2 linked regions of the Caenorhabditis elegans genome follow. The protein of the gene in region 1 interacts with the protein of each later gene in a pairwise test. Each region holds a gene or a part of one and is shown on either strand. Other genes may lie near its edges. The genes, in order: cog-1 and unc-37.

The links.
Region 2: the proteins of cog-1 (region 1) and unc-37 interact in a two-hybrid assay, tested with the Caenorhabditis elegans proteins (2 studies listed by BioGRID).

The regions. Positions count from the first base shown.
Region 1 is NC_003280.10:14,900,259-14,908,470, reverse strand, and holds cog-1 (Homeobox domain-containing protein), read right to left. Parts: upstream 5,979-8,212; 5' UTR 5,953-5,978; coding exon 5,641-5,952; intron 5,342-5,640; exon of another isoform or gene 5,341-5,341; coding exon 5,271-5,340; intron 5,137-5,270; exon of another isoform or gene 5,078-5,136; intron 3,730-5,077; coding exon 3,470-3,729; intron 1,461-3,469; coding exon 1,332-1,460; 3' UTR 938-1,331; downstream 1-937. Other genes in the region: R03C1.1 (Cell wall protein DAN4), read left to right, coding at 1-193, 337-390, 435-662, 795-872.
Region 2 is NC_003279.8:6,741,398-6,747,556, forward strand, and holds unc-37 (Transcription factor unc-37), read right to left. Parts: upstream 3,933-6,159; 5' UTR 3,928-3,932; coding exon 3,847-3,927; intron 3,795-3,846; coding exon 3,651-3,794; intron 3,399-3,650; coding exon 2,888-3,398; intron 2,801-2,887; coding exon 2,605-2,800; intron 2,552-2,604; coding exon 1,804-2,551; intron 1,286-1,803; coding exon 1,127-1,285; 3' UTR 910-1,126; downstream 1-909. Other genes in the region: cytb-5.2 (Cytochrome b5 heme-binding domain-containing protein), read left to right, coding at 35-367; W02D3.12 (Succinate dehydrogenase assembly factor 4, mitochondrial), read left to right, coding at 592-622, 671-909; fnci-1 (FANCI helical domain-containing protein), read right to left, coding at 4,935-4,997, 5,880-6,015, 6,112-6,159. UniProt on the Caenorhabditis elegans protein: Transcriptional corepressor that functions with the neural specificity gene unc-4 to govern motor neuron identity. In concert with unc-4, represses the expression of VB-specific genes such as ceh-12, thereby preventing the adoption of VB motor neuron fate.

The sequences.
Region 1 (8,212 bases):
GTACACCGCGCAGCCACCTACCGTATACCCGGCCATCGGACAGTTGGCCACCGGACAAGAGACGTGCTATTGTCTTGATCCGACCACCAGTGTCATGTCCGGGTGTGGATGCAGGTGTAACTGTGCCACGTTGATGGTTACTGTACCAAATGCGTACTGTGGGTGCCCACAGCCAGGACAACAACAGCAACAGGTAGAGAGCATGAGGGCATGATAGCATGGAAACTTGAATTTTCATTTCAAAGCAAGCAGCCGACAATTCACGGGGTTTGGTGGAACCCGCAATTTGTCGGCTGCTCGGCGCCACCGACTATTTTGCAAATTGACCATTTTCAGGTTCAATACGACACCTACGAGTACGCTCCAGTTCAGACCACCCCGACACCAATGGTAATAACCCTTCAATTTTTCGAATTTACCCTTACAATTTTCAGCCAACCACTCAAGTCCCAACTACCCAGGCTCCAACCACCCAGGCCCCAACCATGCCAACTTCCTCAAGCCCGGTTCAATATGCCGACACCGCGGCCACCCAATACCCGCTGACAACCACATGTGTGATGTACGTGAACGTGCCTACCACCGCCTGCTCGTGCCTTCCACAATACGACCAGTGTGCTCAGAATGTGTGCTGCTTGAAGTCCAAATTCAGAAGTTACAAGGTAGGTGGGGGAGTTCCTAGGGGATCTAGGCACTGACGTAGTTTCTAGACCATGGTGCCACAAGGGATTTCTAGGCCACATAGGCATTTTCTAGGCCAATTTTATAAATTTCAAACATTTTCAATTTTCCAGAAAGCCGAAGAAACCCAACCATCGACCCTCGACGTGCTCATGAACGTTCTCCAGACGATCAAAACGAAACTCGAATAGATAATTAATTAATTTTTCGTGTTCCCCACAATATTTGGTATCTGTAAATATGCCTCAACGATTACTTAATCTAATAAATTTATGTCATTAGAATCCAATTTGAAGAGAAAAAAACGTACAATTAAATGGGAAATTTTTTGTATTTGGGCATGGTTTAACGGTAAAAGGGAGTTTGGTTTTTGTATAAGTGACGATGATTTGGAAAAAAAAAGAAAAAAAAATGGCTATAACTATGGGAAAACATGCAAAAAAATTAAGAAAAAAATTATACAAAAGTACGAGAAAAGACGAGAGATCATGGCATCTGTGTGGGGTGTTGGTATTCAGGTAATCAGGTGTAAAGACGGAAGAAGGTCATGATTTTGGATTTTCTTAAAGGGCTTCAGGAAAAAATTGCAAACAAATTGGGGGAATAATACACTCGGTTGAAGGGAGGGGGAGAGGTAGAACGCTTAAAAGCTAAATTCCAGCGCTGAGAAATGGGCTCAGTGAGCAAGGAGACTTGTCGCCGCTGGCACCACGTTTGACCAGTGCATTGTCGGCCGCTTCCTTCTTGCGCCATTTTGTACGACGGTTTTGGAACCACACCTGGAAGCAGGGAAATTATTTTTAGAGCTAGGTTTGGGGTACTGTAGTTTTAAGAGATTTTCAATTTATGGGAGTACTGTAAAAGCACATACAATTTTTTTAATCAAGTAAGTAATCTATGGGCTACTGTAGTTTTAGAAAATAGTTTATAGTACTACTGTAGTTTAAATGAAGTTAGACTTATATGGGTGCTGTAGAGGTACTGTAACTTTCAAGTTACTTGGGGTACTGTAGGATTTTATGTTAATTTAGTGAATTTTGGTTAGTGCAATTTTTGCAAGGATCTGCGTTACTTTTGCAAGGATCTGCGTTACTTTTGCAAGGATCTGTTAACATAAATACTCTAAAATCCGGAAAAATAAAAAAAAATTGAGGCTTCAAATTGCGGCAATTTGAAAAATTGGTAAAAAATTTTCATACTTGGCGATTTTTGTGCCAATATTTTAGTAGAGTTTGAAAGTTTTGTTTTTTACCTTTTTATTTAACATTCAAATTTCAATTGTACTGTTGTAAATTGCATTAGTTATGTTAAATAAATCAAATCAAATAAGTTGACATTGCCACAAATGTCAAAAAGTTCCAAAAATGTAGCAGTTTTTAAAAATTGAAAAATTGTCCAGAAAAATTAAAAACTTTGTGTAACTTCCATATTTAAACTTAAAAGTTTGACAAACTTCTATGACATTTTTGGCAAAAACTGGAAAAGCTCTCGTAAATTGTCAAAAAAAAAGTTAAAAAATTATCTAGTTACTGAATTGTCAATTTTCCAAAATCCGGCAGTTTCAACAATTTAGAGGTGGTAAAATTGTTTCAAATTTCCAAAAGTTACGAATTTCGAAAATTTTTAACTAAAAAAAATTTCCAGAAGCAGAAATTAATGAAATGTTGTCGAAAGTGCCGAAGTTTAAAAATTTTTTTTTAATTCTCCACATTTTTCCACAAAATGCTGAATTTTTCCGGTCGCCGAGATTATTCTCAAAACCCCTCCGAAACAATGAAAAACTTATTCCAATGTTTTTTTTTCTATTCAACTTTTCCTCCTCCCATCTTCCCTATCCGTCACTCATAAGTCCATCTCCATCCTCCTCTACTCAAAACTCGACGACACATGATATCAAATAAAATTAAAATATTTGAATTGAAATGAACTGCTCCGCGGCTTCTGCTGCTGCTACAAGCCTTCCCGAGGGACCGATAGTATTTCCGGAAAGAAAACAGACAAGAAATTGGGCAGATGTTTGAAAATTGTTGTACAACATCCATTATGCATAACTATCCTATGAGCAATCATTAAATAGACTAGATGACACGTGGAATAGAAATTTTTTGGCAAATCAGCAATTTGGCAAATTGCCAGAATTTAAAATTTTCAGCAAATCGGCTAACAGGTAAATTGTCGATTTGCCGAATTTGCCGGTAAGACGGCAAGTTGTGGTTTTGCACGTTTTTTTTAGAATTTCAGAATTTCAATTTCAACCGGCAAAATTGTACGCAACCACAGTTTTAAATGTTTCAATCTTATAAAAAATCCCTGTAAACATTTCCGGCAAACCGGCAAATTGCCAATACTAAGAAATTCCGCCAAATTGGCAAACCGGCAATTTGCCAAAAATAATAACATTTAAAAGGTCCCATTTTCCTGGGTTATCTTTTTTCTACAAATTTTCTAGAAGATCATATACATAAAACCCAATTCCTAACATATATTCCCTCCGAAATTCAATCATATGTGAAATGGGCTGTATCATGTGTACAGTAACCGGATACCGAATCGCAAATTCGGTCCCCCACTACTTTTTCCATTTGTCAATAAATGTGTGAAGAAGAAAATGATGACGAGGTGTCTTTCTTCTATATCATGTACCAATCATAATGTAATGATAATAATAATAATAATAATAATATAATGATAGGTATTGGAATGATGACTCAACTACCCCGCTTTTGTCAAACTTTTTGATGAAGAAAAAGCAATTTTTGCACGGGAAAAAGTGCCTACAAATGCCTACCTTAACTTGACTCTCGCTCATGTTAAGCTCCTGGGCGAGCTGTGCACGATCTGCTCCGGCTAGGTACTTGGTTTGCTCGAACTTCCGCTCCAGCTGATAGATCTGATGGCCGGTGAATGTGGGTCTGCTTTGCTTCTTCTGCATGTTCAGGGAGTTCGGGGAGAGTTGCATTGAGTGCTGGAGTCGCCCCATTGGGGAGAGTGATGGAAGGGCGCCGGGCAGGTTGTTGAGCAGGTTGAAGGAGGTGAGAGCTCGGCTTACTGGAATTTAAAAATTAGAATTGCATTTCGGCAAAATTTTTTGCCGACAAATTCGGCAAATCGGCAAATTACCGGTTCGCCAATTTGCCGGAAATTTTCATTTTTGCTGATTTGCCGATTTGCCAGAAAAATAGTTTGCCGCCCACCACGCAAGTTTTGAAAATTTCCGAGCTCGGCAAATTCAGAAAATTGTTTTTTTTATATTTGCTGAGCACAGCAAATTTGGCAAAGGGAAAATTCGGCAAGTTCGGCAAGTTTGCCGCACACCCTTGCTCCATGATGTTCAACGCTATCAAAAAGCTGTCAACTAAAGTTGCATATTTCAATAGTTAAATGGAGTCACAAAAAGTCACCCCCAATGTGTCGGTTGCTAGTTCTCCCTTAAATAAATCCCTTAACTCCCCATATCCCCCATACACCCGTTCCCTTGGCGCCGCGTGTCTATTCCGGAAGCCATATGTGTACATAGTAGTCTGACCTTCCTCCTTAGTTTTTTGTTGCACCTAATTCCACCACCACCACGCATTTATGATGAAAACGTGTTCAATCAGCCGTGTGTTGGTTTTCCGAGGTTAGCATATTACCTATCTTCTCAGAGATAGATCCGGAAAGTGTTCCATTGAAAATATAACTTTTTTTTGGCTAGTCGACAATTTATTGCTACCTTTCGAAGGAAAGTCCATTGTGCGTGTGTCTGTGTGTGTGTATGTAAACTGTCAATTAGCCAGTGTTCCGTCACAAACTGGCTCATTAATTACGCCGTCCTTGATTCTTGCAAGTTTTTGGATTCATTATAACTATCCCCCTCTACTGTCTTCATATAACTTTTTTATTACGGTAGCCTGGCATATGGGTGAGGGGTTGTAAAACCAAGTGTGTTGCATTCTCGAAAGTTTTACGAGCTTCACACATTGTTGTAAATTGGCATTTGAGACCAGATGCCGCTTAATGGGTTAACAGACATGCAAGAAAGTTGGCAGTATTTGATTTTGAAAAACTGAAATTTGTCGGCTGCCATGAAACTCGACCTTACGTGACAGCTGTCTGGTACATTTAGTTGACTACTTTCTTATACATTCAAGGATTTCCGAGAAATGAGCTGCCAAAGTTTGGCATTGAAATTTTGAGGAACATGGCTAATTACTACAAGTTACCATATCTCAAAAATCAGAGCAGTTATCAAAAATTGGTCAATTGGCGAAAAATAGCTTGTAATATTTCCAATAGTTTGTCAGTTGACAACTTTTTGATAGCTGTCATGAGCCCTGAGATACGTGGCTTAAAACTCTGCGTCCCCCAAAATTTATGAATTCATCAAAATCGAAAATTATTCAAATTCCTGTCTATCTGAACACATGTTCGGCTAATCGACTCCTAATGTGATTATTATGCAATTGTTGCCCCTCCAGGCACCCACATATGAATACAGTAGCAGGCAGCTGGCCCCCTCCTGAATCATTTAGGCTCCCCCTTCCCGTATTGCTCAATGAGCACAGTGACACCAATAATTATTAAATTAGGAAGGGCTCAGTGGAACGTACCGTTTTCCTGTGTTACTCGGTTCATCATTGATTGGCTGTTTAACTGGGACTGTAGAAGGAAGAAGTATGCCTGGAAAAATTGAAATTTTAGGAAGATTGTTTGGAAATTTTTGACAATTTCAAAATTGCCAAATCTAGCTTTTAAAAATGCCGGCCAAATTTTTCGAAATAATTTTTTATAAACATTCATAAAACGCACATTGTTGAAAATTGACCTAATTTTTTTCCCGAAAAATTCCAAAACTTCCGAAAAGTTTACGGTAATCTTTTTTTGAAAAATATTTTCTGCCTGACATTGCCGAAAAGTTTTGGAAATTGCCTAATTATTTTTTTTTGGAAAAAGGAGAGAATTCATAAGAGGCTCACTAACCTGAAGACCCGGGTCAACTGCTCCACCATTTGCCATAAGCTGAGCCATAATCTGTGTTGGTGACGTGGCACTTTCCGACGAGGAGGACGATGAAGCTGGCGGAAAAATGAATGAAGAAGTTGCCGACGGACTCCGCTGATCATCATCATTGCTGCTCGCCGAGTCATCCTCACTGGAACTGCCCGACGGGCTCGACTCCTTCTTCTCGAGCAACAAATTTGAAATACTGTAGGTGGAGGAGTGCTTCCGATTCTCGACGTCCTTGTCGTCGGGCGTCGTGAGTTGTGGCGGTTCGGACATGATTAGGCTCATCTGGTTATGGTAGAGGGGAGATTGTTCTGCAAAATTAATATAAAAATTAATTGAAGAAGTTTGGAGGAAGAGATGAAAAATTAAGATTTAATCCGGTATAGTGAAAGTTTTTGCAAAAAAAAAATTGAGAAGCGCTCAAAAATCTTGGATGGAAATCTTTGACACAACACAGAAGACTATTGGGCTATAAATTTTAGAAAAAGTGATAATTATTAAATTTCTAAAATTAAAAAATCCAAAAAAATGGGAGGAAACGTTTTTTTTGTTGTAATTTTCCAAAACTTAAAAATTAAAAAAAAAACGGTTTTAAGAGTGATTTTGTAATTTTTTTAGTTTTTGAAATTTTTTAAATGGTTTAGAACTCTATAAATTGGGTAAAACTGTTTTTGAATATCTTAAAAATTCCTAGAATTTCGAAAAAAACTGTTTTCAATATATTTTTTTAAATTTAACATTTAATTCCATTTAGGCACAAAAATGTATAATTGTCTACATGGCATCCAATGCCTGCCTTACACGTGTACCTAATTCTGTAGGCGATAGGCAGGCACTTATGAAGAATAATTTGGCATTTCAAGATAATAATAGTTTTAAATTTAAAAAAATCCTTGTAACAATTTTTGAATGTTTATTTAAAATTTCCATAGCCATAAATTTGTAATTTTTTTTTGAAAAGTTATATGTTTCCAAAAAACTCAAAAAATTTCAAAATTTTTTTTTTCTAATTAAAAAAAATTCCCCCGTTTCCCAGAATCACTGGGAAAATAGAAAACCAAGAATATATTCCAATATACAGTCTCACTAATACGTCTCTCTCTCATTTATTTTCTTGTTCAAGTTGTACATTTTTAATTAAACTGATTGGATACTAAATGCGAATTGGTGGAAAAAGAAGAAGAAGAAATTATAAAAAAAATAAAAACAATATCCGAGTGTTTGACATATTCGGAGAGGGGGGAGAGAGATGAATTAACCAAGAATTAACTTGGAATCTAAGAAAATAGTAATAATAATATTATTTTTTTGGGGGAAAAACAATGCGATAAATTACTACTGTCACAATTCTTGAATTCGTATTAATGTATTAGTTTTTTTTTGGTAATTCTGGTAATACAAAAAAATCTGGGAGATATTAGGCTGAATTTTTGGGATCTTGCAGAAAAAAAATAATGAGCAGTGCGCGCCAATTGCCGTTCGGCATAATTTTTGTGGGCGAATACGGCAAATTGCCGGTTTGCCAATTTGCCGGAAATTTTCAATTCCGGCCATTTGTCGGTTTGCCGATTTGCCGGAAATTTTGATTTTCTACTATTTTCCGATTTTTGAATTTTTTTGTAGGAACATTCATAGGGTGAGTAAAATTTTGCCGATTTAAATTCAAATTCTGGAATTTTCAAAAAAAAAAAGTGCAAAACCACAAATTGCCGGTTTTCAGGCAAATTTGCCGATTTGCCGGAAATTTTTAGTTTCGGCAAATTGCCGATTTGCCTGATATTTTAAATTCCGACAATTTGCAAATTTGACAGAAATTTCGATTCCTTTAATTTTCCATTTTGCCGATTTGCCGGAAAAAATCGTTTGCCGCCCGAAGATGAAAACGTCTCAAAAAAGTAGACAATTTCCGCTGATGTCAACTATTACACGTCAAACTTAAAAATTCCGAAACATTTGAGAACAAATTTCGTGCCCATTTTCGAAATGCCAAGTAATTTTTGGAATTGGCTATTACTCATAATTACACGTGTTTCTATTTTATTTACGAAAGATCATTGAAAGATTAAAATATTCTGCCAAATTATAGGCTTTTTGAACTAAAAAATTTGAATAAGAAAGGGGTATGGGTGGCTAGAAAACCCGAAGGTTCTTTTAAAAAAAGCTTATAAAATTTTTCTAACTTTCCTGAAAATTTGGTAGTTTTTATCTTGTAAATAATTAAAGTAAACATGCATATATAAATAAAACTATGACACCAACAATGAAACCTTTAAGGAACCTGGATATCTAATTCCTTTTACGGAAATACATATGTATATCTAATAGCAGGTGCTACTAGAGACCCCCATTTTATTATCAAATCCTAATCAAAACGTTTACGAAATGAAATGAATTTGCCCGTGCTCTCTCTCTCAGGACAAGTGGCTCATAATCATAATAATCATAATCACATGGCGCACACCTTTTAGAGTTATACCACCCGAAACGTAATGATCTAGAGGTGTCTGTGGGAAATCACACGGAAATTGTTCTTTCATAGGGGGGA
Region 2 (6,159 bases), on another chromosome or scaffold:
TTTTAAATTTAAATATCGAAATCATTCCTTACAGGTCTACGATGTGACAAAGTTCTTGAATGAGCATCCAGGAGGTGAAGAAGTCATCACTCAATTAGCCGGTAAAGATGCTACAGTTGGATTCCTCGATGTTGGGCACTCAAAAGATGCTATTGAAATGGCCAATGAATATCTCATTGGTCAATTGCCAGAATCAGACGTTCCAAAAGTCGAGACAGCGGCTGCGAAACCTTCGAAAAACGAAAAATCATCATCTCTCCTCAATGATTTCACCGAAATTATGACTTCACCAACATGGACCAACTTCCTGATTCCAACTACAATGGGACTTGTCATTTATGCCGTGTACAAGTGCATGTTCAATTAAATTACCTTAGCTCTTATCCTATTCTTTTGATCTTATGCGCCCACTTTCTTGAAATGCATCAAAGAACATTTGTTTCTATGGACTTTTATATATGTGATAAAGATTTGTTGTCAATATTTTCATATGTTACTGAAGGAAAAATGGGTGGAGCCTTGGAGATATCGATGTAACTTTAGTCGCAAGATTAGTCCTATTGAAACAATTAAAAAAAATATTCAGATCAAATGCTTCGTCAGATTCTTCGTCCAATTTTGAGTATGGATTTTACACAAAAAACAATTTTCTAATTTCTTGACGATTCAGATTCTTCCCGCCGATTCGCAGATATAAAACCAAAACAAAGTGCGAAGGAGAAGGTGATGGCTGAGAAGACACCGAAAGGAGCACTTGATAAAGCAGACGAACAACAATATGAAGATCCTCACCTCAAGAAACATCCGGGAGGTGTGAATAAGTCAACTGGAGAAGTTGGTGGACCAGCTGGACCAGAGCCAACTCGATATGGTGATTGGGAGAGGAAGGGAAGAGTTTCAGATTTTTGAAATGTTTTATTAATTGCTGTTAAAGTCAAGTCAGATCATCATTGTTTTGTAGTGCAAATAAATAAATGTTTTAAACATAGAGTGACATTAATCGTAATAGGGTACACAAATACGAAAATTTGACAAACGAAATTAGAAGAGATGAGAGAGATGAAACGATTATCGTACAGAATAGGGGTTTTGAGTATCATGATCATAAATTCACTGCGGAAAAAAATTAATATTCAACTGCATAGAGAGTTGCCTTCTTCTCCCCTGATCCAGTGACAATGAGTGAGTCGTCGAATGAGATGTCACATGAGAGAACGGAGCTGTTCTCTTTTAGTTGAAAGAGTGATGCTCCGTATGGAGTACGCCAGGCGTTGAGAGCATTGTCCTGAAAAATTGAGATTATGAGGTTTCAATTAGAAAAATTGAGCCAATTACCGTATTTCTTCTATTAATATGGCTGCAATACTATTTTTCGATGGTCTTCCCGCTTGCAAGACTAATAGGGAGTGCAAGAATATTAGGGAGTGCAATACTAATTTTCAGAATATTTTTCTGACTTTGAGCTTACTAGTTTTTTTCTGAAAAAGCTCGAATCTTATGTAAAAATACAAAAAATTTTGATTTTAATTGTAACCTATAAGTTCAAAAACTTCAATTTCGTATAAATTTTGTGAAAAATTGTTGCACAATAGGCAAAAAATATTGTTGAAATCCTGAAATTAGCGAGATGGGTTTGCAATAAAAAAAAAGTAAACGCAAGACTATTAGAGAGTGCAATAGGGAGTGCCATACTAATTTTTGGAAGGTCTCCGAGGGGCAATACTAATAGGGAGTGCAAGTCTAATAGGGAGGCCATACTAATAGAAGAAATACGGTAAATGACAAAGTATAATCAAAACATACCTTTCCAGTTGAAATGAAGAACTTTCCGGAATGCGCAAATTTGAGCGAAAGGACGCATGATTCGTGTTGTGTCAATTGATACTTTTCTTTTCCAGTTGTTGACAGAACCTCGACATAATTATTCTCCATACCAACAGCCACCCATTCATCATTTGGACAACATCCAAGAGAGAAAACTTGGCTCGCAAAATCATGCTTCGCAACTTCCTTTCGTTGTGCAAGATCCCAGCATCTAACAGAATTGTCAAGACCACCTGACCAGAGCTTTGTACCATCTTTTGAGAGATCGAGACATGATGCTCCATCTTGATGTCCAGGTAGGGTTCCAACTTTCACCTTATTATGGATATCATAAATGAGGATATTTCCATCAGCAAGACATGCGAACAATAATTTCTCATCTGGTGACATCGCCAACGCGTAGCATGCTTGTGAATCAGTTTCCAAGTCCAAAGTTTTTGTTTCAGTTGTAAGATCCCAAAGAGCAACAGTACTGGCTTCTCCTCCAATCAGAAGTGTATTTCCATCTTCAAAGAGTTTACAAGATCTAATATAGTTCTCTTTGAGACAATCCAAGGATGCAATTGGAGGCCGATTCACAACCGTTGCGCCAGAAATATCTGATTCTTTGACATCCCAGATCTTAACACATCCTTTTCCACCAGTATAAACACGACTGTTATCACGGGAAATTGTGGCCGCACAAACTACTTCTCCGTGATTTAATTCCATTTTCTTCTTGAGACCTCTGCAATTTTTTTTTTCAAATTTGAATCAAAGCCAATTATTATATTTTCTTACGTCGGAATTCCGGGACCTTTCTGTGCATCTGGAGGGAAGGATGTAGGTGTTGGAACTCCACCGTCCACAATTTTGAATGAATAGGCCGGTCTGCTACCGATTTGCCCGATGGCAGCTGCAAGACGGGCCTGTGCATGGGGATCATTCAAAAAGTTGAATCCTCCAGCAGCACTAGCTTGTCGGAGAAGATTTGGATCTGAAAATTGAAATATTTTGGCATTGCCTGAAGTTTTGGTATTTGCTCCCTCCACTTAGCACACTTCAAAAGATTGTAAACACGTACTGAATCCAGCTAAAAAGTTCATTTGCTCCAATCCTTGAAGCCCAGCGAGTGGCTGCTGTTGTTGTCTTGCTCTAGAATTTGATGCGATGCTCGGTGTAGATGCTCCCGATGAGGCAACACTATTTGTGCTATCTCTTCCATTTTTATTAGCTGCGCCTCCATTTGATGCAGTACTTGGATGATCATCATTTGTGACATCAATCTCAAGTTCTCCATCATCTGGATCTTCCAGCTTGGCCTTTTTCGCTTCACTTGCACCTCCAGAACTTCCACCGGCTCCATCTCCACCGTTGACATGTGGTGATGCGAATTGATTGAATAGTTGACTCATTGCAGGGCTCATTCCGAATGGCATATTTGGCATCATTCCAAGCATTCCAGCTGCACCGGGAGGAAAACCTGGTGGAAGTGCTGGTGCTCCATTTCCATTTTCACGTGGTGATGCGGTTTTGAAAGCTTCCAGTGCGGCGAGGCAGTTTGCTTGATTATCTTGAGATAGTTGAGGAGCCAACTGAAAAATATACATTTATAATATTACCTAAAATTGATTATTATGAATTAAAAATATTACATAATAATTTTTCTTCTATTTATAAATGAATATATGGAAAGAGGAGCATGTTTGAGTTGAACAAGGTACAATCCAATAGATATTATAACGTTTCCATAATATTTAGTTCAAATATTTCAACAAAAAAATTGTAATAGCTTTTTCTATATTTTTGTTCGATTTTTTAATAACATTATTGACGAGTTAATTTACCGATTGCATGATGAATTCCTGAAGGCGTTTGTTGATTTCTTCTGCTTTTCGAAGATCGCTACGAAGAGTATTTGATACTTCAGCGTACGTCATATACGATCTATTCATATTTTCTTTCTCTAACGCAACCTTTTCGATATCCGACTGCAAAATTGTTTTCAATATACTAAAATTTCTCTTACAAAATTAAGCTTACTCGTTGCTGGTTGACATGCTTCGACATTTCCGCATGCTCGTCTTTGATTCGATCGAGGGTTTCCAGATACGATGCCTTCATTTTTACTGAAAATTAAATACAATCAAGTGGATAGTGAATTATTAACATAAAAATTATGAGAGGAGTTTTAAAAATTCGATCAAAAAAATGCAAGGAAGAACAGACTAGTGATGGATTGGGAGAAGACAACAAAACTCAAGAAATAGCACGTGGTTTGAATAGACGTTGACAACGAGACGAAGAAACAAAGAAAGAGGACATGGGTTTCCAGTGGTGTAGACGGAGAGAATCATACATTAATTGCAAAACGACTGGTCATATAGCCCCACTAACGTTGAAGAATGAAGGAGGTATTGGTGTCGAGGAGGACGAACGCGCGGCGATGAATGCGACGCTGAATGGGTGACCGAATGGGGGGAGGAGTTGTCGATAGAGCACATTTGTTTTGAGCTCTTTTGAGCCCGAGTGTAGAAGATGAATGTATCCAATAAGTTTGATATTCAAGTAACACGAGGATCCGAGGATTTCTAACTAATATTTCGAATCAAACACGATGAAGCTGCAACTTACTATAGAGAGAAGCATTTATAAATATTTTACATGTACATAATCACAATTCCAGTATAAAAAACTCACAAAATTATCTAAAAAAACGGAAAAGGTTGAAATATTGAATAAAGAGACATAAACCTGTCTTGAAGAAAATATTTTTAAAAAATCATGTTTAACAAATAATAAGTTTATTGACATGGTATGTTCTTAAATAATTTGAGATTGAAAATCGGTAAGAAAATGAGATGAGAATCAAATGATAATAGTGAAAATTGAGATTCAAATGGAAAGAATAAAAACTCTTGAATGATTCTATTAGATTAAACAACAAGACGGTATACTGTAGCAGTCATGAAAATTTAAAAAAAAACCAAAACATGAATGAAGCTCCATTTTGTCATTTGTAACTAATTAGAAGCATTCCGGAGTGTTGAAGAATATATTACACATATAAAAACTCGAGAGTTTAAACTCATTAGGAAATCAAATATAATTGTCGTTTCATTGCTAACTGATCAGAAGACTGGACTCGTGCCTCTGGAGACACTTTCTTCTTCGTCATCAACCTCCTGCTTCACCTAAAAATACATTTTTAGATTAAGAGTGCAAGTCGTCTCGTGAAAAATATATTCTTGAACACGACACTTGATTTAAGGGCAGCGTAAATTTATATAAGGATTAAGGTAAATGAAGCTATCAACAACTAACAAGGTTATGCCCTTTGATCAATCATTTCATTTCAGTAATTGACACATTCATTTCCCACAATGTTAGATTTTATCGAAAAAGGAGGGATGTGATGGGTGGTTATAAACATTCAAAGATTCGAGAAGGCGATAATTGGTTGGATGTGTGTAACAGATGGTGGTGAGACGATGGTGTACACATTTGTTTGCACTTTATGTCATCATTATGACAACGAATACAATGAAAGTCAGATTTATGTTCCAGAAATAGAAAATTCCCATATAAGGGTCACCTTGGGTCAAATTGATGTCGGTTGATGGAAAAGGGATGTTTAATGGGTGAATGAGAATAATAAAATGTATGTGGTCGAGGCATTTGGAACTACATACATTTTATGTCTGGGATGCCGCTGTTTTAGATCATTTCACAAATTGAAATGAACATTTGACACAAATGTGGTCCTATTAATCAGCGCATTGAAACAGTTTCGCACCGAATATCCACAATTTATATTGAAAAATAATGATTTCTTTTTTATTCAAAACATCATAGGAATTGTTGAAACAGTAAACTATTTTTGGATTTTAACATTTGTAAGATTTTTGAAAGATATGGAGACTTACTTTAATTTTTTCGAAATTTTAATTGCCGAATTGTTTTTTGAAACTTTATTTTTTAGAGTTAAAGTTTTTGTCCAAATAAAATATTTTTCGGCCTTAGAATTAATCAGCTCAAGTAGTGGTTACACAACTCATAAAATCTCGTACACATACCACTCCAACAGTGTTCTCTTGATCTCTTGGCTCTTCGGGTTCTTCGGAGCTTCTTCTTGCAGATGTTGTACTCTCTTCAGTTTCTTCTATTTCTTCATCTTCCATACTTGGGTCCCTACGGCCTCGTTTGGTGGCTCTGAAAGCATCTCGTTACTTGAAAATTATTTAAAGAAACAAAAGAGGATTCAATAATAAACTGGAGAAACAATACTTTTTGAAATTTAAAACGTACGGTTCACAAACTTCTTCATTAGCTTGCCCGCTCAATTTGTTGCGAAGA